Cricetulus griseus: one gene and its partners. The protein of the gene in region 1 interacts with the protein of each later gene in a pairwise test. Links are inferred from orthologs where the notes say so. Each region holds a gene or a part of one and is shown in the gene's direction. Other genes may lie near its edges.

Region 1 (4,546 bases):
GCTCCTGAAGTCCATGGCTTACAGCTGGCAGCATGGCAGAAGTTCAGCCTCCACATTTGTAGCCAGATCTCTGCGCCTGTGGCAGATGGAAAGCCAATGTCAGCATGTCAGCAGGTGGGCTTCAGGAAGCTGTCCCTCCCTGAACATCTGTATGTTGGAAGTGTTAACTACTGATTCCTGCAGTGTGGACTGCAGAATCTAACAACCGATTCTTTCTTCCTCAGGAGGCAAAGAGCCCTGATCACAGAGATTCCAAAGGTGGGAGTCTCTGTTACTCAAGTACCTCAGAACTACTGTGTTTGTTAGGGTCATCCTGTGAAAAGCATCCAGCCCAAGCCCGGAATCCAGAAGGTGTCCAGAGTGCCATTTTATGCCTAGGGAACCTGTGGAGACTTGGGCTGGACCTTGACCACTCTAGAAACATTACTTCCCAGCCTGTTTTCCCACGGATTATGGGTTTTCTGCTTCCTTAGTTGGGGCCGTTTTTAACTAATCAAATAAATGAATGAATGATAAATATCACGAATGTTGGGCTGGAAAAATAGCATGGTAGTTAAGAGCATGTACTTCACGCTGGGCAGTGGTGGCACACACGTTTAGTCCCAGCACTTGGGAGGCAGAGGCAGGAGGATCTCTGTGAGTTCGACACCCGCCTGGTCTACAAGAGCTAGTTCCACAACAGCCTCCAAAGCCACAGAGAAACCCTGCCTCGAAAAACTAAAAAAAAAAACAAAAAAAAACAAAAAAAAAAACATGTACTTCCTGAGTTCAATTTCCAGCAACTATGTCAGGTGGCTCCAGGTTAGAGCCTCTGTGGGTCCTTTGCATTCATGTGTGCACAGACTTATACATAGCATAATAGAATATAAATATTAAAAGAAAGATCGGGGCTGGAGAGATGATTCACTGATTAAGAGCATTGGCTGCTCTCCCAGAGGACCCTGGTTCAATATCCAGCACCCACATGGCAGCTTTCTATAACTCCAGTTCTAGGGAATCTGACACCCTCACACAGACATACATTCAGACAAAACACCAATGCATATAAAAATTTTTTAAAAAACTAAAAAGAAATACCACACGGATCTGTACTGTAGCTAAACATTGGAACCATGGTGTCTGGGGCTTGGAGAAAGAGTCACAACGGGGATGTCACAGGCAGACTTGCCAGCAAAAAACTCAAGACACATAAAATGGCAAAAAAAAAAAAAAAAAAAAAGTGGTCAGGTCTCTAGTAGGTCAGAGAACGCATGGCTGGGTCTTTAGAAGGCGTGGCAGGTGTGGCAGGGTGTCAAGGTGGGGTGGGGGAGAGGGGCAGGGCCGGGCGCCTGGACCCGAGTCCCAGTCTGTAGGCCTGCTGGGAACCGGCAGCCTGGTGAAGGAGGAGTGTCTGAGTCTCTAGGCCCCGCAGGGGAGCTGTGGGCGGGTCTCTAGGAAAGGGAGGCGTGGCCTGATCTCTAAGTGGATCGGGCAAGAGTAGGCGGGTCTGTAGGCGGAGGGAGGCGTGGCCTGACGGCCTGGCTGTCCGGGAAGGCGGGGTCGCGTCACTGAGGAGGAAGGGGCGGGGCGTGATGTGTCTTGCCGGAAGCGAGAGGTGTTTTCGGCACCGGAAATACAGCGGCAGGGGCCGAACGGCTTAAGCGTCCTAGCTAAGGTACGCTGTGAGACGCTGTGATGGCGAGTTCGGCAGCCGCAGCCTCCTTCCTTGCTCCGACTCTGGAGCAGCTCCGGCACCTGGCAGCGGAGCTGCGGTCACTTCTGCCTCTAGTGAGGGGTGAGTTGTGGGAATCTGAGGCCCGGGGCTCCGGGTAGGGCGGCGGTCGGGCGTCACGTCAGGTGACGTGTCTTTTGCTCACCTGTCTTTTGCTTTGGTGGTCCGGCCTCCCACGCTACACCCTCAAGTCGGCGAAGCCCAGGAGACAGCCGAGGAATTTAATCGAGAGATGTTCTGGAGAAGACTTAGTGAGTTTCTCTGCCGTTGCAGACTCTTCCCTCCTCACTCCTGCCTCCTAACCTCTTTCCCCTCTGTTGTCCCAAGAGGAGGTGACAATCCCTCCCGGCCTCGGGACGATTTCTGGAGTTGTTTTGGAGTTGTTTATGATGATAAGGGTGGAGAAGGGATGCGTTATCTTAAAAAATCCGTGTAGTGGTTGCAGCTTCCACCTTTAACACTAACTTTGGTATCCGCCGCCTCTACCACCCCCAGATGAGGCAGCAGTGAACCTGTCAGGGGAAGCCACGATTCTGACCACACTTTTCTCCCGACTTCCACTGCCGTCTCCACGGGTGAGCTTTACTTCCTGGGATTTGTGTGCTGCCTCTAGTTTTCTTGTCACCCTTTACCCTCAAGCCACGTTTATTTTCTTCATTTATTTAATGAGATTATAGTTCTTACCGCATAGGATTGTTGTGAGGACCAAATAGCCAAGTGCAAACGGTAGAAAGGTCTTTCAAATTCAGTCAGGTTAGTTCCTCGGAATTTTAAAAGCTCTTTTTGATTTATAGCTGTTTCTCATACATACTCCCCATCTGACAGATGAGCTAGTAAGTTTAGAGACTTGGATCAAGATTAATAAATGGTGGAGGTGGAGTTAAAAGCCTACAAAGTATCTAAGCAACAGCTATTGCACAATACCCTTTAGTATTAAACTGTTTACCTTTTTATTTAATTACTAATATGTGGATAAAGTTCAAAAGATACCAGAGTACACTAAAATACATGTATATATCTTCCCACCCCAGTTTATCTTTCTATTTCGTTCCCATTTCCTTCTGTATTACTCCATACAATTTGTTCTATGTATATATACATCGCTCTGTGTGTGCTTCTTTTTACACAGTGGTTAGATACTATAAGCATTGTTCTAGACCTTTTAAAAAGTAATATAGCTTAGAAGTTGACTTTTTTTTTTTTTTTTTTTTTTTTTTTTTGGTTTTTCGAGACAGGGTTTCTCTGTGGCTTTGGAGACTGGAACTAACTCTTGTAGACCAGGCTGGCCTCAAACTCACAGAGATCCGCCTGCCTCTGCCTCATGAGTGCTGGAGTTAAAGGCATGGGCCACCACCATCCAGCTAGAAGTTGATTCTTAATGACACATAAAAAAGTTGCTTAGTTCTTTGTAATACTTGATGTAGAGTAACTATAGCTATAAACAATAGCCCAGGTGGACATTTTAAACTGTTTCTAACTTGCAACTATTGTAAATGGCACTGTAGTGAATTGTCAGTTATAATCTTTGCATACATATATGTATTAATAGAAAAAAATTCCAGAGGTGAACTTACAGGAACAAAGAATTAATGCATTTTAAATAATCGTTTATTATGTAACCAAAAGTAAAGCTGGATATTGGCTGTGATCAACCAACATGTGAATGCCCTGTGCCATATTTTTCTAGAGCTACATGTACTTCAGAGTAGTTTATTTTTTTGTTAAATGTTTATTTCATGTCTATGAGTATTTTGCTTGCATGTATGTGCATATGAATTCTGTGCTTAGTATCTATCCATGGAGGCCAGAAGAGGGCACTGGATTCTCTGGAACTAGAGTTAAGGATGGTTGTGAGCTTCCATGTGGGTGCTGGGAACTGAATCTGGGTCCTCTATAAGAGCAGCCAATGCTCTTAACCTCTGAGCCATCTCTCCAGCCCAAAGAGTAGGTTATTTTATGACGACATAGTCGTTGCCTCAATTTTCATAGTAGTTTCAATAACTATGTATCCAGATGTTGTATTTTTGTTTATTTTTTCACTCACATATAACTATACAAATACTCTACTACTGAGCTACACATGCATGAATGTTTTCTTTTGGTTTTATTGGTTTTCTAGAGACATGGTTTCTCTGTGGAGCTCTGGCTGTTCTGGAACTCACTCTGTAGATCAGGCTGGCTTTGAACTTGGAGATCTGTCTGCCTCTGCCTCCTGAGTGCTGGTATTAAAGGTGTGCGCCACCACCTAGTATGAATGTCTTAATGTGATAGAAAGTTCCTTTTACAACATAAAATTATAAAAATACATACCCCTCTTTCCTGTACTTTTTGTTGTGTTTTTTTTTTTTTTTTTGTTTGTTTGTTTTTCCAGACAGGGTTTCTCTGTGTAGCTTTGGAACCTATCCTGGCACTTGCTCTGTAGACCAGGCTGGCCTCGAACTCACAGAGATCCACCTGCCTCTGCCTCCCTAGTGCTGGGATTAAAGGCATGAGCCACCGACGCCTGGCTCTTTTTGGTTTTTTGAGATAGGGTTTCTTTGTGTAGCTCTGGCCATCCTGGAACTAGCTGTATAGACCGGACTGGTCTAGATCTCAGAGATCCATCTGCCTCTGCCTCTGCCTCTGCCTCTGCCTCCTGAGTGCTGGTACTGGGATTAAAGGTGTGTGCCACTACTGCCTGTCCCCTGTGTATCTTAAAACAATGGTTTTCAAATTGTGGGTCACGACCCTTTTGTTACGGTGAGACAACAGGCGTCATAATAGCAGATATCTAGCATATCAAATATTTACATTATAATTCATAACATTAGCAATGAAAATATTTTTATGGTTGGG
Region 2 (3,203 bases), on another chromosome or scaffold:
AGATGAGAAAGGTGCAATGCAACACTGAGTTCAAGTGGAAGGGTTTTGTATTAGGGGGAAGGTTCCTAAAAGGGGGAAAGCGCGTACGCGCGTGTGTGTGTGTGTGTGTGTGTGTGTGTGTGTGTGTGTGTGTGTGAGACCAGCCTCTGGGGACAGGAGCAGTAGGAGAGGAAAGGGATGGATGGAGGGAGGGAGGGTGAGAAAGAAACAGAGAGAGGGAGAGAAAGAGAATGGGGAGTGGGGTGGTGGTGGTGGTGGAGATAGAGAATGGGAGGTGGGCAGGGCCCTTTTAAAAGGGAACAACGGAGTGAATACCCACAGGTGGCATATTCACTAAATGCTCTTAGTGGCTGCAGCTGAGGGCATACCCTGTCAGGACCTCAAGGACAGGCCAGTACAGAGGGAGGCGCCTCCGAGGAGGAAATGCCTCCTTGAGATCCAGCTGTAAGGCATTTTCTCATTTAGTGATCAATGGGGGAGGGCCCAGGCCATGGTGGTGCCATCTCTGGGCTGGTACCCTCTGGGTTCTATAAGAAAGCAGGTTGAGCAATTCAGGGAAAGCAAGCCAGTAAGCAGCACCCTCCATGGCCTCTGCATCAACTCTGGCCTCTGGGATGTTGCCCTGTTGGAGTTCCCGTCCTGACTTCCTTCAGTTGTGCACAGCGATGCGGAAGTGTAAGCTGAATAAACCACAGTTGAGTTTTAGTAATGGTGTTTTGCTGAAACAATAGAAACCCCAAGACACAGGGGATCCCCAGAGCAAACTGGCTAAAGAAACAAGCCATATAAGTTCTGGGTTTTTGTGAGAGGCTCTATGTCATTAAAGTGGAAGAATAATGTAGAATGATCCCTGGCATCCACCCCACATGCATGCACACTGTGTGTCTTCACACCACACATACACATGCGCGCGCGCGCGCGCGCGCACACACACACACACACACACACACACACACACACACACACACACAGTTATTGTGAGTTCAAGGCCAGCCTTGGCTACACGAGACCATGAAAAAAATCTGAGGCAGGGGATAAAGTCTCACAGTCCTACCTGCTGAGCCATCTCACCCACTTTTTCTGCTTTTCACCTCGTGAGTTTCATAGGGTTGCTTACCGAGAGGGGTCCTTTTAAAATTACTTTAACTAACTTTAAGTAACGCTAGGCGTTACTTACTGATTCCTGGGGTGTTCCTGATTAATCTGTTTGTTGATTATTTATTTACCTCTTTCAGCACGTAGCACAGGATGGTTCCATGGTCCCAGCATATAGCATTACAGGCACGGGCCACCGCATCCTGTCCAGGCTAGCTTTGATAATTTCAGAAACCTGAGCCTCGGAGTCAGGATGTGCAGCTCAGCACACACTGTGGGAGATGGTGAGAGTCCTTGTCTCAAAACCAAAATAGGCGACAAACACCCAAACAACAGTGAAAACAAACAACAACAACAAACAAACAAACAAACCCCTGGGATTTGATCCTTAGTACCACAATTAACAAAAGAAATGTGAAGAGAATGCGCGCTCGGGAGAAGCAGACAGATCACAGCCTGGAATACAGAGCGAGCAAATCCTGCTGTAGCTAGCCTGTGAGCGCAGAAGGGAAGCGTGTTTTTGGAGCCCCGCCTCAGCACAATTGTTGTCCCACTGGGCACAAACTTCAGGTTTTGACTGGTCCTTTTAATAAAAAAAAAAAAAAAGAAAAAAGAAAAACCCTTCTAAGTACATGCCACTTTGTAGGATGAGAGCTGGGGCGTTCACCCAGCCTGCAGCTTCGGCAGAACAGCTCAGGTTCTGGAGATCTAACCTGGGCTAGACTACTTGGTAAGGTTTGAGGCCTCCCCTCTTCCTTCCTCGAAAATGGTTGCTCCCACACCGCCCGGAAGTACTCGTGGTCGGGTCCCGGGAGCGGACTGGTGGCGGGACATGGAGCTGCGGGGTCGTGCCGGCAGTCCAAGCGGAGCACTGGCGTCCCCGGAACCGGCTCAGGCCTCGGTGACCCTGGCGCAGCTGCTGCAGCTTGTCCAGAAGGGCCAGGAGCTCCCGGGTATAGAGAAACCTCACATCACCGTGATCCCCGGCGAACCCACGGCGTCGCTGCTCCCCCGGAGGCCCAAGCCCTGGGAGGACGCGGGCTCAGCCGCATCATCCCACACCACCGCCCTAGACGCGTGCGCGCCATCCCCGACCGTCGAGGAGCCGGCCTGCTCAGCCCAGCACGGCGGAGGCCCAGCGGGTTCCTGAGCTCGAGGGCTTTTGCAGCCGTGATCCAGAGGGCGTGACTGGGTCCTGCATGAACCTGAGGGTCTGGACAGCTGCTAGCTTTACTCATCTTTCTGCATCTGCTGTGATTTGTCCCAACCAGACCCAGTCCTCCCGGGAGACAAATGTTGCCCAGGAATTTCGGGGTCGGACGCCGAGTTTCAACTTCATACTTGTAATCTGTCTGCAGAATTGAAACAAGTCTATTTTACCACCTGCGGTGTCTCTTTCATTTGCCACAGTAACGGGCCATGACCTCCTGATGACACTGATAAAGTGAACTGGAGGGCCAAAAGCTAATTTTGGCTACTACTAATTTTGTAGTTATTTGGGTTTGATAGAACTCGGTTCTGAAATGATGCAACTGAAATCCTTATTTTGTCTGTTTGACTTCTGAGACAGGGTTTCTCTGTGTAGCTCTGTCCATCCTGGAGTTCACTCTGTAGACCAGGCTGCCCTCTGTAAACTTCCCATTTTATTTAAAGTTGAATGGCAACACAGCCCTAGAAACCCTGGATCTTGGAACCTGCTACTCCTACCACGTAGGTCCCAAAAATCATGCTCTTGGCCTGGCAGGGTTACCTACTGCCACCCTCAAGGCTGTAACAAGAGTTAGACACCTGGAGCTGTCAACTGCCACGTGGGTGCAGAGACTCACAACACCAATGCTCTCCATCCCAGCCCCTTCTTAAGACTGTTGTCAGATGGTGGGGCTGGCGGAAAAGGCCCTAGCCACTGAGCCATGCTTGGGCTCCTGAAATCTTTTTTTTTTTTTTTTTGAGACAGTTTCTCCACATAGCCCTGCATAGTGTTCCCTCATTCAGTACAATACACATGGAGTGTTCCTCCAAGCCTGCAATGCAGTTTTTTTTGTTTTTGGTTTTTTCGAGACGGGGTTTCTCTGTGGCTTTGGAGGGTGTCCTGGAACTAGCTCTTGTAG
Region 3 (4,657 bases), on another chromosome or scaffold:
TCTTAGTTCAAAGCCAGCCTAGTCTACAGAGTGAGATCCAGGACAGCTAGGACTACACGGAGAAACCCTGTCTTGAAAAACCAAAGGGGGGAGGAGGTGGCTCAGAGGTTAAGAGCTGCTCTTCTAGAAGTCTTGAGTTCAATTCCCAGCAACCACATGGTGGCTCACAACCATCTATAATGAGATCTGGTGCCCTCTTCTGGCCTGCAGTTATACATGCAGGCAGAACACTATAATAAATCTTTTGTTTTTCTTTTTTTTTTAAGTAAGCTCTGGGATTCCATAGCCAGCATTTAGGGGCTGGAGAGATGGCTCAGAAGACCACTGGCTCCTCTTCCAGAGAACACAGGTTTAATTCCCAGCACCCACATGGCAGTTCACAACTGTTTGTAACTCCAGCTGTAGGGGATCTGATACCCTCACAAAGACATATAAGCAGTTGAAACACCAATGCACATAAAAATAAATAGATCAGAGCAGTGGTGACACACACCTTTAATCCCAGCACTTGGGAGGCAGAGGCAGGCAGATCTCTGTAAATCTGAGGCCAGCCTGGTATACAGAACTAGTTTCAGGATAGCCAGGGCTACACAGAGAAACCCTGTCTCAAAATAAATAAATAAATAAATAAATAAAAGTTTAGAGCTAGGCAGTGATTGCACAGGCTTTTAATCTCTGCATTCAAGCCAGCCTGGTCTACAGATTGAGTTCCAGGACAGTCAGGACTGCATAGAGAATCCCTGTCTCAAAAACCAAAAAGAAAAATGTTTAGGATCTGAAGGAATGACAATTCATCTAAAGAAGGCTTAATTTGGGGCTTCAGAGATAGCTCAGAAGTTAAGACCACTGGTTGCATTTGAAGAGGACCTGGGTTTGGTTCCCAGTACCCTCATGAAGCCCTCTTTTGACCTTGGTGGGCCCCTAGCATGCATGTTGACACATTCACTCATAAACATAATTAAACCTAAAAGGACTTAATTGATACTTTGTTGTTGTTGTTTGTTTTTTTCGAGACAGGGTTTCTCTGTGGCTTTGGAAGCTGTTCTGGAACTAGCTCCTTGTAGACCAGGCTGGTCTCGAACTCACAGAGATCCACCTGCCTCTGCCACCGGAGTGCTGGGATTAAAGGCGTGTGCCACCAACGACCGGCAATTTATACTTATTTTTAAAGCATTGTATGTGCATGTGTTTTGCCTGCATATCTACATGTACTTGCAGTGCTCACATGGAGGGGGGGCAGGGTGTCAGATGAGATGGGAATGGAGGAACAGAGGAGCACCATCCTGGCCAGGGTTACAGCATGCACTTCCTTAAGTTACCTGGGACTAGAAGAAAAAGATGAAAGTGAAACAGAACATACTAGCCTCTGAACTAGGGTGGAGGTGAAAGTGAAAGTGGGAAGTGTACAAAAAAAAAAAAAAAAAAAAAAAACACAGAAGCCGAAGCAGACGCCTTTCTGATCCCCTGGCTTCACTCTGTTCGTCTGGTCCACCCATCGACCCCCGGATCTCAGTTGGCTTTCCTGCCCCGAGATGCTGAAGCAGGCAGTGGAACACAGAGGAGGCTTCTCTTTCGAGAACTGCCAGAGGTGAAGGGGGAGTGGAGATTTGGTTTCGAGCAGCTGGTGCTCAACTGTAGGCCTTTTTTTTTTTTTTTCTTTTTGGTGTTTTGGGGACGGGTTCAAGGATCCTCCCTAGAATCAGAGCTGAAATGCGAGTCACCCCATTGTTTACAGGAATGCGTCCTTGGAACAGGTCCTCTCGGGCCTTCGGGTCCCTCATGCACGCAAAACCGGGACTACCATCGCGGGACTTGTGTTCCGAGTGAGCAGGGTGATAGGCCTGGAGGGCTAGAATGGCGCCAATGTGGAGAATATTGGGTGGGCATTAAGGCCGGGCTCTTCCTCTGCAGGATGGAGTTATCTTGGGCGCGGATACGCGGGCCACTAACGATTCGGTCGTGGTGGACAAAAGCTGCGAGAAGATCCACTTCATCGCCCCCAAAATCTAGTAAGAATTCCCCAGCCCAGCCCCCACTCTCAAACAAAAGCTGCACTGTCACGCCCTAGTCTGCCCCTGCACATCCCTGTCCACACCCGCCGTCCCTTTCCCCTCAGCTGCTGTGGGGCTGGAGTGGCTGCGGACACTGAGATGACCACGCGGATGGCAGCTTCCAAGATGGAGCTACACGCGCTGTCCACCGGCCGTGAGCCTCGGGTGGCCACGGTCACCCGTATCCTGCGCCAGACACTCTTCCGGTGAGGAAGTAGGGTGAAGGGGTCATCTGCAGGTAGGCGGGGTCGACAGGAGTGGGGGACCGAAGAGAGACCGGAAGAAGCCAGGCGGGGTCTAACCAAAATTGAGTTCCGGAAGAAGCAATTGTAGAACGCCAGGTCACAGGAAGGGGTGGGACTCAGATCGAGAAGTGGCATAAGGGGCGGGCCTGGCACCAGCTGGCAATATCAGCGCCCACTGGTCCACAGGTACCAAGGCCACGTGGGAGCATCACTGATCGTGGGCGGGGTTGATCTGACCGGGCCTCAACTCTATGGCGTGCACCCCCACGGTTCCTACAGCCGTCTGCCCTTTACTGCCCTGGGTGAGTGCTTCCATCCTTTCCCCACGAACTTTCCCCTGCCATCCTACCTTCAAGGTTTGTTTCCCAGATGCAGCTACAGCTGACTTCAGATGTCCCTTTCCACCTTCAGGCTCTGGACAGGATGCAGCCTTGGCACTGTTGGAGGACAGGTTCCAGCCAAACATGACGGTGAGCAACTTCAGCCCATTACTTCATGCTCACAGGTGGGGAGTGCCCCCCTCCCCCCCCCAAAAAAAAACCCTGGTCAAATATAGAAATAAGGCAGGCTTGTAGGGAAGAAGGTAACACCTGAGTAGGGACTGAATAATGTTGAAGGTCCAGTCGGGAATCAAGGTTAGATTGGTTAGTTGAAGCCCACAAAGGATCATTAACGGAAGGAAGAGGTAAAGCCCAGTGGTATATGAGGTTTCAGGTCTGGACTTTGGAGTGGGATAGAAATAGAGATAACTAAGACCCAGAGAGAAACTCAGTGACAGAGGACTACATTGGTGGGTGGGAGGATTGCTGGAAGGGGCCTTATAAGTGTAAGGGACACTGAGAAGTTTGTACACAGGACAGTGGGTGGAGGGAACACAGGGTTTTGGGAGAGGGGGAGTCAGAAGCTAAGGGAATGAAGGGAAAGGAGGTTGGGCTTGCACAAATGGCAAATTGTCTAGGCTTCAAGATTAACAAAATCCTCAGAGTGAGACAACACCAGGTTCATTTAGTGTCATTCACACTACCACAGCTGGAGGCTGCACAAGAGCTGTTGGTGGAAGCCATCACTGCAGGGATCCTGGGTGACCTGGGCTCTGGAGGCAGTGTGGATGCATGTGTGATCACTGCAACAGGCGCCCAGCTGCTGAGGACACTGAGCTCTCCCACAAAGCCAGTGCAGAGGTAGGAGCAGGGGGAGGGAGGACTATAGGGGGACTGCAGTCTTAGCCAGGGTGGCAAATGGGAGGTCTTCCAGAACAGGACAGGATACATGCTGAAAGGCTGGCCCTCCTCCCTTCTAGAACTGGCCGTTACCACTTTGCTCCTGGAACCACAGCTGTCCTGACCCAGGAAGTAAGACCTCTGAACCTGGAGCTTCTGGAGGAAACGGTGCAGACCATGGAGGTGGAATAAAGTGGCCTAAGACTTAGAGCTTGGTACAGGGGGAATAAACCCCGGAAATACAAACATTTAAACAGAAGACTGTGTCATTCTTTCTTCTATTTTACATTTATTTATTATGTATATAGTGTTCTGTCTGCATGTCAGCCTGCAGGCTAGAACACCAGACCTCATTACAGATGGTTGTGAGCCACCACCATGTGGTTGCCGGGAATTGAACTCAGGACCTCTGGAAGAGCAGCCAATGCTCTTAACCAATGAGCTCACGACTGTCTCATTCTTGAGGAGTGGGACAAGCAGCCATAGAAGCTTTGTGGCAGAGGTATCTAAGGACCCTGAGGCCTGGTTCCTGGCCTGCTCTTCATCTTTACCTCAGGAATCTGTCCATTCAGAATCCCAGGCCTAGCCAGCAGGCTTTGAGATGGAAAGCTACATCTTATCATCCCCAAACCTAACTCCACATGGTAGAAGCTTACCCCACAAATCGCCCCCGTCTTGTAAGACCCCATGGACAGCCCCTACTCATAGCCTTTCTCTGGCTTATCAGTGACCCCCTACTGCCACCAGGTCCACCCAGGATCCTAAGGGGCTAAAATGCTGATAGAGCAACTAAGGGCAAGTTCTCACCAAGCACTCCTCACTACAGTGCCTCTACTTATGTCACTCTCAGATGACCAGGCATGTGTGAGCCACTGGTGAAAAGCTAGGGCTTGTCTGCACATGTGGGGCTGTGAGTAGGGAAATTGACTCCAAGTTCTCTGGGCTGATAGGGGTCATGGACTCATGGGAAAAGATGACACATTTAACAAGAAACCTTTGCTAAATAAGCACCTGTTGAGTGCCAGGCCCACTGGGTGCTGGTGGGAACATCCTGCTCTCAGAGTAGCTAAGCTCCACTGGGCCTTCAGAATGGATAAACCACATTCTCCAGAGAGGTTTTCCAGGCTGGATGTCCTTGGCC
Region 4 (4,503 bases), on another chromosome or scaffold:
AGGGCAAGGGAACAATTGCTTCTCATAAAGGTAATTACTTTCATAAAGGTAAGGGGACTTCCCCTTACAGGTTTCCTTTAGGTAAGACTGGCCCTTGAATATGGGAATGCTGGTTTGGGAGGGCCGGCTGTGGCCCTGTGCAAACACTTAACCCACAAGGAGAGTCAATGAGTTGCATTAAGGATCCCAGACCAAAGCAATGTTACATGAACACTGATTGGGTAGTAACTTACAGGCCAGACACAGGTCTAAGCACTTATAATTAACTCACTTATCTTCACCAGTATCATATAGAGCAGATACTCATTTTACAGAAATAGCACCGAGAATTTCAGCGCCAGTCAGGAAGTAGGTGGCGATGCCTGAATTTGAACCTAGACATTCTGGCTCGTCTAACCTCAACATAGAAACTAACGTGGGATGAGGAAGCCAGCCTTCAGGGCCAATGGCTAATAGAAGGAAACAGACTCAGGTGGGAATGCGGGGAATGCAAGGGCAGGGCTTCTGCTTAAAATGGATTCTGGGACCCTAATAATAGCTTCCTGACTTGTGCCAGGCATTGTGCAAAGGGACTTTACATTCAATCTTCAGTAAGTCCTTTGAATGAGACACTATCATTACCTTATTTCATCTTACTGATGAGGAAACTGACCCACAGAAGCCGCCCAAGACGGAAGGGCCAAGCCAGGCCAACCCTGGCCGGGGTGGCGCCCACGTGGCGTTAAGGAAACAGGGAAAATGGTGGGGGTGTGGCCAGAGGGCCGGGGGCGTGGCCGAACGGGGCGTGACCGCAGACTTGGCGGGGCCTGGGGCAAGCGAGGTTGGCGCGCAGCCGGGAAGGTTTAGGCGGGGTCGCACCTGTTGCGCGACTGCCCCACGGCCCCGCCACGGGATTGGGATCTCTAATTGATTCCCAGAAACTAGTGAAAGAACCCTAGGCGAATTCCGGGTTCGGTTTTCTGTGGAGCACGTGGCCTGCTTCCTCTTGAGTGCGGGCTGGGGGTCGCGACACCGGGGTCTCCTGAGGTCAGTCTGGCAGCTGAAGCCCGTGGGAGTCCGCCTTCGTCCAGCTGGCCATTTTGAGAAGCAGCCTTCCTTCCCGCCTCAGTGCGGGTGCAGGGGCCAGGGGCGCGACTTCGCCCCTGTGGGGCCCTCTCCTCTCCTCAGCCGCGCTTCCCCGCGGTGTAGACTAGGCAGCCTCCCTGGTACCACTCGGGACTCGGGCAGTATGGCCTCAGGTAAGCGTGTGGCGCGTGTGTTGGCGTTAGAGGGATCCCGGGACAAAGGTGCCTTGTCCGGGTGACAAGAGGGTCAGGTCTTGCTAGGAGTGTGAGCAGACCCTGGAAAGGTCTAGGGAAGCAGACCTTGAGTGTGCGGGCAGAGAGACAAGCAGAGGAGCCTGGGGTCTTTCCCACAGACCTCAACAAGACCCTGCCTCCGGCTCTTCCTGTCTTCCTAGGAGGACTTCCAGCTTCTGCCGGTCAGTGGAATTTTCCCAAGACAGGTTCCTCCCTTCTGGGCTCGAATTCTCAGTTCAGCCTCCTTCTCCTGGGCTGTCCCTAGAGCTGGGGTCAGATGGAGAAGAAAAGAGTGGGTTCTGCCCCCGAGGCTCTGGGTTTTCTTGAGTACGCTTGCCCTCTCCCTGGAGGAAATGGGTTTTGAGGCTGGAGAAGCTCAGGCTGTATTCTTATTATTTTTCTCTCTGGCTGAGCCTAGCCTGGACTTTGGCTTCTTTGCCTTGAAGCTTTGGCAAGGGATGAGGGTTCCGGAGATGGGGTGAGGGTGGTGCAGAGCTGCGAGCTGGCGCTGCTCCATCTGTTTTCTTTGCGCCCCCACCCCCACCCCAGTCCCAGCCACCATCAGTCACGTCACTCTAGGGACTGGAGTGGGAAGGGAGGGATAAGGGGCAGGATGGAGGCCCCACTCCCCGAGGTTGCCTAGACAACATCAGAAATCGTGGCCAGGGCCTCTTCCGCCTGCGGGGCGCTGCTTCCTGCATCAGTCACTCCCGCTGGGGGCGGGGCGGAGGAAGGGGTTGGATGTGAGAGAGGTTGGCCCCAGCTGGTGAGGTTCCTCCGCTGTAGCCTTGGCCCCAGCCATGGCATCCTATTCTGGCCCAGGCAAGTCCAAGGCCAAATATCCCTTTAAGAAGCGGGCCAGCCTGCAAGCTTCCGCTGCTGCTCCAGGTAAGTGTTCTTGGCTTCAGGCATGGGGCTCCTCCATCTCCTCCTGTCCAGGCCACCTAGTGCCTCAGAGAGGGCCCCCTTCTGCAGCACCCTCTCTGCAGTGATGCCTCTCTGCTTCGGTTCTAGGGCTGACTGACTGGGTTGGGTGGCGCAGGGAGTGGGGGGGGGGTCTGAGGTTTCCATGTCAGGGATGCTGCCCTCCGTAACAAGGAGTGGGTGTGGATGTGTGTGCACAAGAGGCGTATATGCACACGTGTCTGCTTGTGCAGATGCTGAGACTGTGTGTGAAGTGTGTGAATGAAGTGGGGAGGGTGTGGGACTGATGACTGCTTTGCGGACTGGCTACCCTGTTTGGTGCCTGTGCCTACAGCAGGCAGGCTCAGGTTGTTACTCTTTCCAAGGCCCTAGATCTAGAACTCCCTCATCGGTGAGTGACATCTGGGGTCATGCATTGCTGGCACATACACCAGAGGTAGGGCTCCGTTGCTACTATCCTTGCTGTTTGCTTGTTCCTGGTCTGTGTTGTGAGCCTCTTCAGGAGAGCGGCAGCCCTTGAGATGTCTGGTGGGCTGTGTACCTTGCACCCTTGGGTTTGGCTCCTACTATGTGGGCATCTCCGCACCATTTGCAACTGGTTGTGTGGTGGCGAGTGTCCATCCTGGTGAGGACTTAGCTACTTGAGCTTGTGCTTCCAGGGGTGTGGGTGTCTGCAGCTCTCAAGTGTTCTGGCTAAAGAAAAACGCCTTGGTGACTGGATGTTGTTAACCCCTCATAGCTCTATTTACACCCTGACTACCCTCCTTTAGCTTGTTTTTATGCTGCCAAAAATGCTTGGCTAGGGCTTTGTGTTGTGCTGACCTGTGTGCTCAGATCTGTGTCTCAGACTGTGTGTTTGGATCTGAGTCTTCCGGGTGTATGCCCTGGAGCTAGTTCTGTGCTGGTTACTCTATTGCTGAGCTAGAGACCCTTAGATGGTTAGACCCTGAGAGCATCCTGTCCCTGGGGTTGAGGCCTAGTGAGGCAGTCTTGATAATGAGTGAGGGGCTAGTCAAGAGGAAGGACTAGGCACCAGAATCTTGGAGCTGATGGGGTGATCCCCCCTTGGCGTTGGGCTGTATGTATCATCATATGTATGTTGTGATGCCAACTTTTGGCACTGAACCAGGGAGACGGGATCTGGCATGAGGGAGTATGGAGGTTGTTGCTGGTGTGTCACCTCTGGTGAGTCTAGCAGTTGTTTGCTTTTGTGTGGCAGACTAGGAAGATGACTGTGGCTGCTGGAACCCTTCCTGCTCACCCAGCCCTGCTCTGTAGGCCCAGGGTTACCTGACAGGAAAGGGTTTAAAATGAGGGCTTTTAACTTCATTTCTGCAGCTCTGTGGTCTACCTTCAGGGACTTAGAAGTGGTTGGTGGCTGGGTGTAGTGATGCACACCTGTAATTAGCTAGTTGGGAAGCTGAGGCAGGAGGATCATGAGTTCCAGGTATGCTTGGACACTTAGTAAGAGCCTGCCTGAAAGTAAAACTAGAAAAGGGTGAGGATATAGCTCGGTAGTAGAGGACTTCCTTAGCACACACAAGGCCTCAGGTGGTCCCAGGAATGCAAAAGACAGAAAACAAAACCCCCAAATGGTCTGGAGCCGTCTTTAAGAGCATAGGTAGGATCAGGGTGGTTTGTTTTGTTTGTTTGTTTCTCTGTGTGGTGTCCTAGAACTTGCTCTGTAGACCAGATTGGCCTCGAGCGCAGAGATATGCCTACCATGTGCTGCAATTAAAGACATGCACCACCACTGCCTGGCCTATGATCTAGGTTCTTGATAATCAAAGACTTGAAACCCTAGGTTGGGTGGGTAGGTATTGATCTTTGCCTCTTCCTCCAGTTCTTTCTTGCAAGGGAGAGCCTCTCTACCCCTACAATATCCCTTTCTCTTCACTGCTTTCCCCTACTTAGCAGCCTTTACCCCTACACTGGATTCAGAAGGCCTCTCACCCTCCTCAATGAAGGGTCTCCATTTAAGTGTTTGGAGCGTCCTAGGAATTTCTGATTGTAGCCCCATGGGCTCAGAGTCCTAAGCTTTACAGAACTCTTGTAGATCATTCCCCTGTGAGTCCTGGGGCTGTGGCCAGATAGGACAAGGCCACTTCTCACCCATTTATAGCCTCTGTCCAGAGGTTAAGGCAAGCAAATAAACAAAAGTAGAGTCCTATGTGTTTTCCAAATGCTGCTCCCATGTTCCAAGTTACTCTTCCTGAGTAGTTTGCCCCTACCCTGATAATGGACTTGGGACTGGCTTGTATGCTAAGAAGCCTCTGTAACT
Region 5 (3,081 bases), on another chromosome or scaffold:
TCATTTCTGACCCCAAATCTGATGGTTTTGAAGCTGGACAGCAAGTAACAGGCTAAGCCCATAGGAATATTGATGCAATCAGACTGTCACAGTGCCCATCAGCTTTCTGTCACTGGAGCAAAATGCCTCCGAGAACTTATTTTGGCTCCCGGTTTTAGAGCTCAGTCCATTGTCTTGGGCTCGTGGTAGCACAGTGGGTCATGGCAGAAGTGCATGCTGGGAGGCCTAGTCAGCTCGTGACGACTAGGAAGCCGGCAGGTTGGTGGGGAGAAGGTGAGTCCTGATGTCCTTTCAAGGGCACACCCTTACAAGAGGCGACCACCCGCCTCTTATAAGCCTGACATGAAGGTTCCGTCACCTTCTAGTATCCCAGTCAGCTGGACCAGGCTTCAATACCAAGGCCAGGGGTAGGTTTCCAATTCAAATTAATAGTTAGCATTTTGTTCCTGTTTGTTTAGGACGGGCCTCATGTAGCCCAGTCTGGGTTGGAACTCAAGTAGTGCAGAGATCGCTCCGGCGATATTTATTACTTTTTTTTTTTTTTTTTTTTTTTTTGAGATAGAATTTCACTATGTAGGCCAGACTGGCCTCAAGCTCACAGAGATCCTCCTGCCTCTGCCTCCCTAGGCAACAAACCATATTTGTTTCTGATAGAGGGGACTGCATTTATGTTTTAGGACCATACAGATGGTCCAGGATGCAGCGGTGTATACCACACACTCTGCACAGTGCTTGTCATCACTGATAGAATTGTTAGGGGGCTTTAGCCAAGAGTCACACTTTTTGTCCCTATTTTTAGCATCTTTAGAAACATTGTTTTTATTTTGGATTTTTTAAAATAATTTATTTATTATGTATAGAACACTCTGCTTCCATGTGTGTCTGCACACCAGAACAGGGCACCAGATCTCATAACAGATGGTTGTGAACCACCCTGTGGTTGCTGGGACTCAGGACCTCTGGAAGAACAGTGCTCTTAACCTCTGAGCTATCTCTCCAGCCCTTGTTTTGGATTTTTGAGACAGGTTCTCATTATATCGCCTAGGCTGGTCTCCAGCAGGTGGCTGTCCTCCAGCCTCTGCTTCCTGATCGCTCAGATTACAGGTGTGGGCTTCCACGATCTTAACGTGTTCAGAAGTGCTGTGAGCACAGGCTGCAGTTGCTGGGTCGCTTACACTGAGCTTCTGTTAATTAGATCATGACCTGAAGCTGATGAAAACTGCTCCTGCTTTTTTTTTTTTGTTGTCCCTGAAGGTGTTGTATTATAAATGCTGAACTTTTTGTCCATGTTTTAAGATCAAATAAGAAGGCAGTTAGACCAGCCCTGGTGGTCAGCGCCTTCAATCCTAGCGTTTGGGAGGCAGTGACAGGTGGATCTTTGAGTTTGAGCTTGAAGAGGTCTGGAGAAGGTGATTCTGAACCTCCTAACTCCCTCCCTTCCCCCAGAATTGAAAAGCGAGACAAATACAGCCGGAGACGACCCTACAATGACGATGCTGACATTGACTACATCAATGAGAGGAATGCCAAGTTCAACAAGAAAGCAGAGAGGTTCTACGGGAAGTACACAGCAGAAATTAAACAGAACCTGGAGAGAGGAACAGCTGTGTGAGCCCTTGGGAAACTACACAGAAGCAGGAAAATGCTGGCAAATTCAGACTTCATGTGTGTCCAGTAAAGGAGCGCTTCCCCTGTGCCTCCCTCCCCACCCGGTATTCTGAAATAAAAGTCTTTTCTCAGCTTCACTCCCACATACATATGTTCACATTTTCGTGCTTGAATGTAAATGTATTTCTTGTAGTGATGTTGTTTTGTAAAAATCTAATTTGTATAAATCCTAATTATTATTTTTCTATGTATTGTAAATGTGCATAACCGTGTAACCTTTTAATCACTTGGGGCTTAGATGGTTCGTGTGTGCAGGTGCAGTCGCTCCTGCTTTGGGTGTCATCAGGAAGTGGACAGAAGCTACAGTTGGGCTCGGACTGGCCAGGTGAGGACAGAGAAACAGAGGCCTCAAGACAGACGCTCCTGGGGTTCTGGCACTGTCTGCTGGGGCTGGGGTCAGAGGTCATGACTGTTAGCCATGCACATTCCGTTTTTAAAGAACAATAAAATGCTTTGGAATAGAGTCATGAACCATGTCTAATTTAAACAAGTGCATGTGTGCATTGCAGGCTTGGGAACATTTGTTACATGTTTCAGTATAGGGGCTGAGCGAGGGTCAGCTCAGTTTCATGTCTCTGAAAGAGAAGAACTTAAAAACTTATTACAACTGTCTAGAGAGAAGGTTCCTCCTGTTGGCGGAAATGCTAGGTGAGACCTTCTCTTAGAAAACAAAACACCAACCCTGGAACTCAGCACATTCCACAAATACTTCACTTTTAATGTTTGAAGATGCCATTGATGACTCATTACTCTTGTTAAAATTAACTTTTTTTCTGTTTAGACATCTAGCCAAAGCTGGCCTTGACCCCACTAAGCTGAGGGTGATCTTGAATTCCTGATCCTCCTACCAAGTGTGCACCCACCACTATGCCCAGGTGTGCTTTGTGTGAGTGGAGGTCTGAGGACAACCTTTGATGTTAGTCCTTGCCTTCCTTGGACTCCAGGCTAGCTGGCTGTGAGCTCTGGACAGTCTCCTGTCTGCCCCATCTTAGGCATGCTAGGGTTACAGACATGAGCACTACTGTGTCTGGCTTTGCATGGGTTTGGGGGTCTGAAATCTGGTCCTCACACTTTCATGGCAAGTGCTTTATCCTGTGGTGATATATTATTAATCATGACTTATTTTTTAAAGAAAAAATAATTTTTTTAAGAAAAAGAATTTTTTTAAAGAAAAAATAATATTTTTAATCATGATTTATTAAAGCTTGCCTGAGGATTCAGAAAGCAAAGTCAGCCACAAGCCATAGAAATTAGGCACATACCTTTAATCCCAACAGCCAGAAGCTAGGAGGTGGTGGCCCATGCCTTTAATCCCAGCGCTAGGGAGGCAGAGGCAGGTGGATCTCTGTGAGTTGGAGACCAGCCTGGTCTACAAGAGCTAGTTCCAGGTCAGCCTCCAAAGCCACAGAGAAA
Region 6 (4,751 bases), on another chromosome or scaffold:
AAAGCACTACTGCTCTTGCAGAAGGACCTGAGTCTGATTGTCAGCACCCACATGGGGTGCCTCACAACCACCTCTAACTCCAGCTCCGGAGGGTTTGACTTCCTTTTCTGCCTCACACCCCCACCCGGACCCTGCAAACACTCCCATGCATGAATCCACACAGAGACACATAATTAAAAACAAAAATAAAATCTTAAAAATAAAAAAGCATTGTCCCAGCATAGATATGGACTTCAAGAGCCCATTCCACATAGAGGAATACTCCCTGAGCCTAGACACAAAGGGGTGGGCCTAGGCCCTATACCAAAGGATACAATAGACTCTGATGACACCGTATGGAAGGCCTCACCATCCAGGGCAGCAGAAAGGATATGTGATAGGTAGGGTTTTAGTTGGGGGGGGAGTGGCAGGGGAGGAGGGAGGAGAGGAAACTGGGATTGTCATGTAAAACAATCTTGTTTCTAATTCAAATAAAAAATAAAAATAAATAAAATAAATAAAAAAGCAGAACATCAAAACAACAAAAATAAAAACTGGTACATGGGAGAAATCATAGCAGGCTGTTTGTTGTTGTTGTTGTTGTTGTTGTTGTTGTTGTTGTTGTTGTTGCTGTTGTTGTTGTTTTAAGCTTGCTGGGAAACTAAGGGAAAGATGGAAAGATGTCTGGGGCAAGACCAAGCGGAGGACCTGACTTAACGGGTGGAGAGGTGGTTCTACAGTCTGCCCCCTCCTCTGAGATGTGCTTTCTTGGGTGCCAGCCGGGTGGTGAGTTTGAGGAAATGACAGGGGCTGGGCGGTCTCTCAGGAAGGAAGAGGTTCAGGCGGGGGAATTTGAAACAAAACTTCCCAGGGAACGCAGAGTTCGGCAGTCCCAGCCGAACATTCTACAAAACTACTGGATGCGGGAAGTTAGGTGGGGTGAAGGACGGAAGGGATGCCCTGGGTGGCCGTGACCTGCGCTCTCGCAGCATCCCGCAGAGCAGCCTGACCGTAGGCTCTGGGAAGGGCCTGGACATGCGATGGACAAAGCGCGACCACTGGGAGGTGGCAAGGGGACTGGGCGGTGACTGACTGCTGGAACCTTTGCTGCGATCCAGGCGGGGGTCCCCAGAGATGTATGGGCGTGGCCCGGCCAATCCCAAAGCACGATTTATGGTCGCGAGAGAAACAGACCAATCGGAATTCAGGGGAGGTGGCGGCGGAGGGCTGATAGGGCCAATGGGCTGCGAGCACCAGGCTGGGGCGGGGCCGCGCGGAGTTTCAAATCTGCAGCGGTGGGCGAGGAGCGGGTGTTGATCTTCGGGTCCCCGGTATCAGAAAGGGAGGTGAGCGCACGGGGACATCGAAGGGCTTGGGGGGCGGGGTGCGGGGGGGACTCACGGGCAGCTCTGAGAGCGGAGCGGGCCAGGAGCTCTAGACAGGACCCGCAACGCAAAGGCGGTGTCTGGAAATTTAAAGCACCTTATCGGATTCGAGGCTTTGGCGGGGTGGCCAGAGTCTGCTCCATAGAGGAGCACGAATTTGTGAAAGAGCCGCTTGCTGATGGTGTCCTGCATAAGCGCCGAGACTCGGTAACCTCTGTGCCTCTCCGCTGAGCCTTAGTGAAGGAGGCTGGGATGGAAGTCAGACAATTTGCCGCCTTACAGTCGAGGCAGCTGCTGACCATGACGCCATGGTCATCTTTCTGGCATCCACAATTGCGCAACAGGCCCACCCAGATATGTTCCACTTCATCCCTTCCCCAGTTCCCAGGGTCTCTGACGCCTGGGAAATAGGGCCAGGGAGTATTCTGTTGACCTTTTGACCTCTCCAGGAACTAACCAGCAGAGGAGACTGGACCAAGCACATGGCGTCTCAGTGGCAGGGCATGACGGCCTCCATGCGCAGAAGATCACTCCTAAAAGAGGAACATCTAGAGAAGACGGTGACCCGGTCTGCTGAGGGCCATCAGGAGACTGGTCCCCTGGGCTCCCTGTGCAGACAGTTCCAAAGGAGGCTGCCACTGAGAGCTGTCAGCCTCAACCTCGGCACTGGCCCCTCCTGGAAACGCCTGGAAACCCCAGAGCCAGAGCAGCAGGGTCTTCAGGCTGCAGCTCGTTCCGCCAAAAGTGCTTTGGGTGCTATGTCCCAGGTAACAGTGACACCACTAGCCATTTGTTTACAGAAGTGTGCTATCCTCAGGAAGGCCCCAAGAATATAGAGTCAGTGGGGTCTTGGAGTTTGATTAGGTCCTGGCAGTTTCCCCCAACACCCTCAGTCATTCTGGCACATAATAGTTTTCCAACAAATCAGTGAGTGAGTGAGAAATCTCATGGAAGAAATTGATGCTCTCCGTGCAAGGTAACCTGCTGTGCCCTATGAGAGGAAATTGCAAGAAATGGCTAACTATAAAGAGATGCCAGTCTCAAGCTTAGTGGATAAAGACTCCCTAGAATAAAGACTTCCAAGATAACTCGGGAAAGGGGCGGTATATGGAGGCGCAGGACCAGGAGGATGGTGTGAGTCCAGCCTGGATGCTGAAGTGGCCTTGGTGTGAGGACTAAGTCACAGTGAGTGGGGACAGGGATGGTGTGTGATGACCCCTGTCTAGATTCTCCCAGTCAGACTACTTATTTCACTTTGGCTGTCAGCTACTTGGTGGGAAAAGGCAGAGGAGCAGGGCTTGCAGAAGGGTGCAACTTCTTGAGCGGTTCAGAGGCAGATTTGAGGGGTGGTGTCTGGGTGCAGTGTGCCCAGGAGCAGACATCTTTTTTAATGTTTATTTAAATGTTTGCGTTTATTTATGGGAGGAGAATTCACGTAATGGTATTCGTCTGGAGGTCAGAGAACAACGTGCAGAAGTACGTTCTCTCCTTCCACCTTGTGGATTCTGGGGATCAAACTCGAGTTGTCAAATTTTGGTGGCAAGAACCTCTACCTGATGAGCTATCTCACTGACCCCACACAGGTCTTTAACCCTGGAGTGGAAGATGCGGGCAGGTGTGCCCTGGAAAGGGCAGCAGCTATGAAAATGAGAATACCTGCAACGAGAGAAGCGGGGGGGGGGGGGCATCTCCCTGGGCATTCTGGTGGTGTGGAGAGAGAGCAGAGGCTCTTGGCAATGCTACAGAGAGGCCTCCTAGCCAAAGTCTAGCTCTGACTTGGAAGAGCCCTAAGATTGCTTTCAACAAATATAGCTCAGAGCAATGAAATGTGACATCTTGTCTAAGGTCACCCAACTCATCAAACTTACCTTGGGCCTTGCTCCAACCTCTGGGCTCTGATTTGCCAAGACAAAGGCAATCTAAGCAGAACTGTTTGATCAGGCCACATGTAAAAGATCCAAGGGTTGGGACTCGGCCCTGTAGATTATAGGGAGCCATAGAAGGGGTTATGATCAGAACTGTCATTGAAGGATCTGTGTGGACTAAGATGGAGGAGGGAAGAGAAGGAATGAGAGCAGAGGGGGATGGCAAGGGGTCCAGTAGTCAGGAAACTGTACCTCCCTCATTGTCTGGGTTAGTCTCTCCCAGAGGGCTTCAAATGTGGAGCCATCTTCTTGCGACTACCTGTTGTGTCCCTGCGCTGGGCCTCTGGGAAGGTCTTATAGGGAATCATACTCACTCTTAAGACTAACAGCAGACTGTATTAGTGGGACAGACCCTAGGATGGAGGGATAGCAAAAGGCTGGCAGCCCACCTTGGTCCTGTCTCTGCTAACCTCTGCTAACCTTCCCACATGAACCCATCACAGAGGATCCAGGAGTCCTGCCAAAGTGGCACCAAGTGGCTAATGCAAACACAGGTCAAAGTGAGGAGAAAGCGAGGAGCCCAGAAGGACAGAGGATCCCCGCCCAGTCTGAGCCAGAAGAACACTCGGCTATACAGGGCCAACCGGGATGCCAGAGTCGGGGGACATCCTCGCCTCTCTGGCCAGATGGGTCCACATGCCCATCGACGTCATCGGCTAAGGAGGGAGGCTGCCCTCCAGAGCCCCTGTTCCTCCACAGAACCTCTCTGCTCTCCCAGGCAAGTAGTCTCCGAGCCCAGTGTGATTTCCCTTTCTGTCCCACAAGTCTCCTCAGTGTTACCTAGGGTGAGGACACTCTGACCTGTCATATCCCTGTTCTGGCTCAGATCTGCCCCAGAGCTAGTGAGGACCTGAAGGGGAAAAAACCTCTCCAGAACTGTTTCCCTACCTGTGAAAGGGACAGGAGATGAGTTCTACTCCATTCTAGATAGGAAACATCTAGAAATCCCAGGCACTGGTGCAAGGCCAGCAGCAACCGTCATCTGACTACAAAATAATTTTCCATGGCTCAGCCTCACAGGTTTGCATGTCACATGCTGCAGTGAGGCTCTAGTGAGGCTTTCCCAGTCACCCGGGGTTGCCTGGCCCCTGCTCTGGGCTCTTGCTAACCCCTGCATCCTCTTGTGTTCAGTGAGTCTGACAGTGACCTAGAGCCTGTGGGGGCTGGAATCCAGCATCTCCAGAAGCTGTCACAAAAGCTGGACAAAGCCATCAAGGCTGAAGAGAGGTGAGCTGCATCCTGGGGTGCATCAGGGTGAAATGGCCATGGGCCCCTTGAGCCATACTGTATTTCTAGAGAGGGTTCTGGTTCCAACACCAATCTGCCACATGACCAAGACCAGTCCCTGTCCCTCTGGGCTTCAGTCTCCTGGGATGATGGTGGAGGATGCACTATGAGTCCTCCAGGCCTTGAACCCTCACCCTTGCCTATCACATTGAATTTCACATGTGGCTAGGTGGTT
Region 7 (2,830 bases), on another chromosome or scaffold:
CATGCCAGTCCCTCCAATATTTGGGAAGTGAGGCAGGAGTTCCAGGCTAGCCCAAGCTACATCTCAAAAAGCAATTTCAAAAGAGAATTCTGGAAATACATCCTAGATTTGGGCTGTAATTTTTGTTTTGTTTATTTATTTATTTATTTATTTTGGTTTTTCGAGACAGGGTTTCTCTGTGTAGCTTTGGAGCCTGTCCTGGCACTTGCTCTGGAGAACAGGCTGGCCTTGAACTCACAGAGATCTGCCTGCCTCTGCCTCCCCAGTGCTGGGATTAAAGGCGTGCGCCACCAATGCCCAGCTTATTATTCTTAATTATGCATCTCTATATGCACATGAGTGCGGGTAACAGAGAGGTCAGAGAGGTTGTGTACTGCCTGACCTTGGAGCTGGGAACCAAACTTGGATCATACGTAAGAGCATTAAGCACCCTTAACTGCTGAGCCGTGTCTGGCCTCTGTCAATTGAGGCAGAAGCTTTTATAGGTGAGGCTGGCCTCAAACTGGCTACAAGTATCGAAGACTGGCTTTGAACTCGTGATCCTTACTGTTGCTCCTCCCAAGTGTGGGGTTTACAGGCAAACCACCTGGGGACAAAGCCCTCTACCACTGAGCAGACTGCCCAGCCCTGGTTTGTCGTCTCAGGACTCGGGACTCTCAAGACTGAAGCAGGACACAGAAGCTTGTTCCTAGGCCCTGAATTGAAGAATGGGAGATTCAGGGTCATGGACTATGTAACAAGACATAACACTGTTTCAAAATAAAAACAAACACAACAGAAACCCACATGGGCCAGTGCGGATGGCTCAGCTTGGCCTACTACCAAGCTTGACGACCCAAGTTTGGTCCCTGGAATCCACTTGGGGGAAGGAGCTGCCTCTTGCAAGTTGTCCTCCGATCCCCACATGTAAGCTGTGGCATGCCCCCACTATTAAGTAAATACAGGTAATAAAAAAAAAATTAAGCTGGACATGGTGCACGCCTTTATTTAGTCCTGGCACCTGGGGAAGTAGATTCTGAGTTTGAGGCCAGCCTGGTCTACGTAGCAAGTTCCAGGACAACCAGGGATGCGTAGTGAGACTCTCTCTCCAAAACCCAAAGCAAACCAAACCAAAACATTCAGTCAAATCATAAATAAGGTTCTGGATGACTCCGAGGGAAGAAGGAAAGGAGAATGAGCAAGAGACACGAGCAAAGCCCTAAACTGAACAGGAGGGAAACTGAGGCCCACGGACTAGAAGTTCCTGTCCAGAAAACACAGAGTGCCTTGGAGGAGGGGCCACCTGCAAATAAGCAGTTTTCCCGTCTCCCTGGGAGATTGGAGCTAGCCAAGAGCCCTGGGCTGGAAGTGGGCCCTTTAAATCTAAGCCCCACCTATGCTTAGAGGGGGCTCTAGGGGAGTATTTATAAGGGGGTGTGCCTTCTCTCTGCTCCACAACAGCCTGCTGCTCTGGGCCTCTGACCTCACAGTCCCTGGCCCCCTGGCCCTGCCTAGTGCCCACGGCCACCAGCCACACAGAGGTGTCATGGAGCTGCCACCCTTTGACAGGTGGAAGGACTACTTTAACCTGAGCCAAGTGATACTGGCGATAATCCAGGGCCGGAGCCAAAGACTGGAGGATGAGGGTGCTGAGGTGTCTACCCTCAGGCAGGAGAAGAGTGAGCAGGGGGTCAACGGGAGCCTGGCTACCCTATGCAACTTCTGCAAACACAATGGAGAGTCTCGTCACGTCTATGCCTCCCACCAGCTGAAGACATCTGAAGGTGTCGTGGTGTGTCCCATCCTGAGGCATTATGTGTGTCCTCTGTGTGGGGCCACTGGGGACCAGGCTCACACGCTCAAGTACTGTCCGCTAAACAGCAACCAGCAGTCTCTCTACCGTCGAGGTGTACGAAACTCCGCTGGACGCAAAGTCAAGCGTTAAGTAAGATCCATGAGGCCCCTATCACCCACACTCCCAAACCCTCCTTCCTCTGACCCTGGTACCCTCCCCTCTGCTCACCCAGCCCTATGGGGGTTCCTAGATCCCACTGTTCTCTAAATCTTTAGGATCCTGAGACATTGGGGGTTGCAGGCAGCCCAGTCCACCTGTCTCAGAGATTCCTGACGCTGTGAGAGCTGTTCTCCATGGACGGTGCATCTTGGCGGCTTCTTTTGGATTGTGACGGCCTGCTGATGACAACCGAGCTAGCCTTGTTGACTTCTCAGATCCCTGGTGAAGATCCCTTGGGGGAAACCCTTGGACTCTCCACCCTACAGAATCCCAGTGTGTCAGTTGTCAGAATCCTGGAACAGTGCCAGAGACTGACTGGGACCGCCACTACTAAGGACTTGATGTTCATACTGACTGTGAGACCATTTATCTTCATCTTCCTCAGCGTCTGCAGACTCGGGTTTCTCCACGGGACCATTCAAGTTCAGCCCTCAGTTCCTTGAACATGCCAGTCCAGCAGGAACTGCAGGAGGGTCAGAACCCTCTTGGAAGGCTGCAGGGCCTTTGTAGCTTCAGGCTGCCTCAAGTGAGCTGAAGCCCACAGCTCCCCCTACTTTATCACCGACCCCATCTCACTTCCTCCTGCCCCCAAACCCATCACTGATGGATCCTTCTCCCAGTGAGAGATTCATCTGCCACCTCCAGTCTTGTTACTTGAGTGTTTCGTTAAGTCAATGTGAGTCCCGCAGCCAAAGAGTCAGAGACCCAGTGGGAACATGGTGGCTGCTTAGATGTTAATTTTAGGGTCAAAGAAGAACTCCAGTAGGATTTTAAGTTATTTAGGAGTTGGGCTTGGAGATGGGGTGAGGATGTATGGATGGATAGGTGGAGCTCTGG

Evidence for each region.
Region 2: the proteins of Ccndbp1 (region 1) and CUNH6orf226 interact in binary tests that used the Homo sapiens proteins (3 or more experiments, as listed by UniProt). The two-hybrid records come from large-scale screens. The link is inferred for Cricetulus griseus from reciprocal best matches to the Homo sapiens genes CCNDBP1 and PEX39.
Region 3: the proteins of Ccndbp1 (region 1) and Psmb10 interact in binary tests that used the Homo sapiens proteins (3 or more experiments, as listed by UniProt). The two-hybrid records come from large-scale screens. The link is inferred for Cricetulus griseus from reciprocal best matches to the Homo sapiens genes CCNDBP1 and PSMB10.
Region 4: the proteins of Ccndbp1 (region 1) and Ampd2 interact in binary tests that used the Homo sapiens proteins (3 or more experiments, as listed by UniProt). The two-hybrid records come from large-scale screens. The link is inferred for Cricetulus griseus from reciprocal best matches to the Homo sapiens genes CCNDBP1 and AMPD2.
Region 5: the proteins of Ccndbp1 (region 1) and Syf2 interact in binary tests that used the Homo sapiens proteins (3 or more experiments, as listed by UniProt). The link is inferred for Cricetulus griseus from reciprocal best matches to the Homo sapiens genes CCNDBP1 and SYF2.
Region 6: the proteins of Ccndbp1 (region 1) and Pimreg interact in binary tests that used the Homo sapiens proteins (3 or more experiments, as listed by UniProt). The two-hybrid records come from large-scale screens. The link is inferred for Cricetulus griseus from reciprocal best matches to the Homo sapiens genes CCNDBP1 and PIMREG.
Region 7: the proteins of Ccndbp1 (region 1) and Nanos2 interact in binary tests that used the Homo sapiens proteins (3 or more experiments, as listed by UniProt). The two-hybrid records come from large-scale screens. The link is inferred for Cricetulus griseus from reciprocal best matches to the Homo sapiens genes CCNDBP1 and NANOS2.

Annotation. Positions count from the first base shown.
Region 1 is NC_048599.1:57,429,706-57,434,251, reverse strand, and holds the start of Ccndbp1 (cyclin-D1-binding protein 1), read left to right. Parts: upstream 1-1,586; 5' UTR 1,587-1,674; coding exon 1,675-1,774; intron 1,775-1,902; coding exon 1,903-1,962; intron 1,963-2,206; coding exon 2,207-2,286; intron 2,287-4,546. UniProt on the Homo sapiens protein: May negatively regulate cell cycle progression. May act at least in part via inhibition of the cyclin-D1/CDK4 complex, thereby preventing phosphorylation of RB1 and blocking E2F-dependent transcription.
Region 2 is NW_023276806.1:256,187,288-256,190,490, forward strand, and holds CUNH6orf226 (uncharacterized protein C6orf226 homolog), read left to right. Parts: upstream 1-1,761; 5' UTR 1,762-1,861; coding exon 1,862-2,245; 3' UTR 2,246-2,479; downstream 2,480-3,203. UniProt on the Homo sapiens protein: May be a peroxin involved in the PTS2-mediated protein import pathway.
Region 3 is NC_048596.1:182,223,243-182,227,899, reverse strand, and holds Psmb10 (proteasome subunit beta type-10), read left to right. Parts: upstream 1-1,416; 5' UTR 1,417-1,532; coding exon 1,533-1,588; intron 1,589-1,735; coding exon 1,736-1,823; intron 1,824-1,911; coding exon 1,912-2,009; intron 2,010-2,116; coding exon 2,117-2,257; intron 2,258-2,482; coding exon 2,483-2,598; intron 2,599-2,707; coding exon 2,708-2,766; intron 2,767-3,325; coding exon 3,326-3,477; intron 3,478-3,596; coding exon 3,597-3,708; coding exon of another isoform or gene 3,709-3,725; 3' UTR 3,726-3,775; downstream 3,776-4,657. UniProt on the Homo sapiens protein: The proteasome is a multicatalytic proteinase complex which is characterized by its ability to cleave peptides with Arg, Phe, Tyr, Leu, and Glu adjacent to the leaving group at neutral or slightly basic pH.
Region 4 is NW_023276806.1:49,049,317-49,053,819, forward strand, and holds the start of Ampd2 (AMP deaminase 2), read left to right. Parts: upstream 1-1,501; 5' UTR 1,502-2,098; coding exon 2,099-2,186; intron 2,187-4,503. UniProt on the Homo sapiens protein: AMP deaminase plays a critical role in energy metabolism. Catalyzes the deamination of AMP to IMP and plays an important role in the purine nucleotide cycle.
Region 5 is NC_048595.1:18,338,020-18,341,100, reverse strand, and holds the end of Syf2 (pre-mRNA-splicing factor SYF2), read left to right. Parts: intron 1-1,446; coding exon 1,447-1,612; 3' UTR 1,613-2,131; downstream 2,132-3,081. UniProt on the Homo sapiens protein: Involved in pre-mRNA splicing as component of the spliceosome.
Region 6 is NC_048600.1:85,882,389-85,887,139, forward strand, and holds the start of Pimreg (protein PIMREG), read left to right. Parts: upstream 1-1,846; coding exon 1,847-2,131; intron 2,132-3,732; coding exon 3,733-4,007; intron 4,008-4,420; coding exon 4,421-4,516; intron 4,517-4,751. UniProt on the Homo sapiens protein: During mitosis, may play a role in the control of metaphase-to-anaphase transition.
Region 7 is NC_048602.1:28,382,106-28,384,935, reverse strand, and holds Nanos2 (nanos homolog 2), read left to right. Parts: upstream 1-1,525; coding exon 1,526-1,924; downstream 1,925-2,830. UniProt on the Homo sapiens protein: Plays a key role in the sexual differentiation of germ cells by promoting the male fate but suppressing the female fate. Represses the female fate pathways by suppressing meiosis, which in turn results in the promotion of the male fate.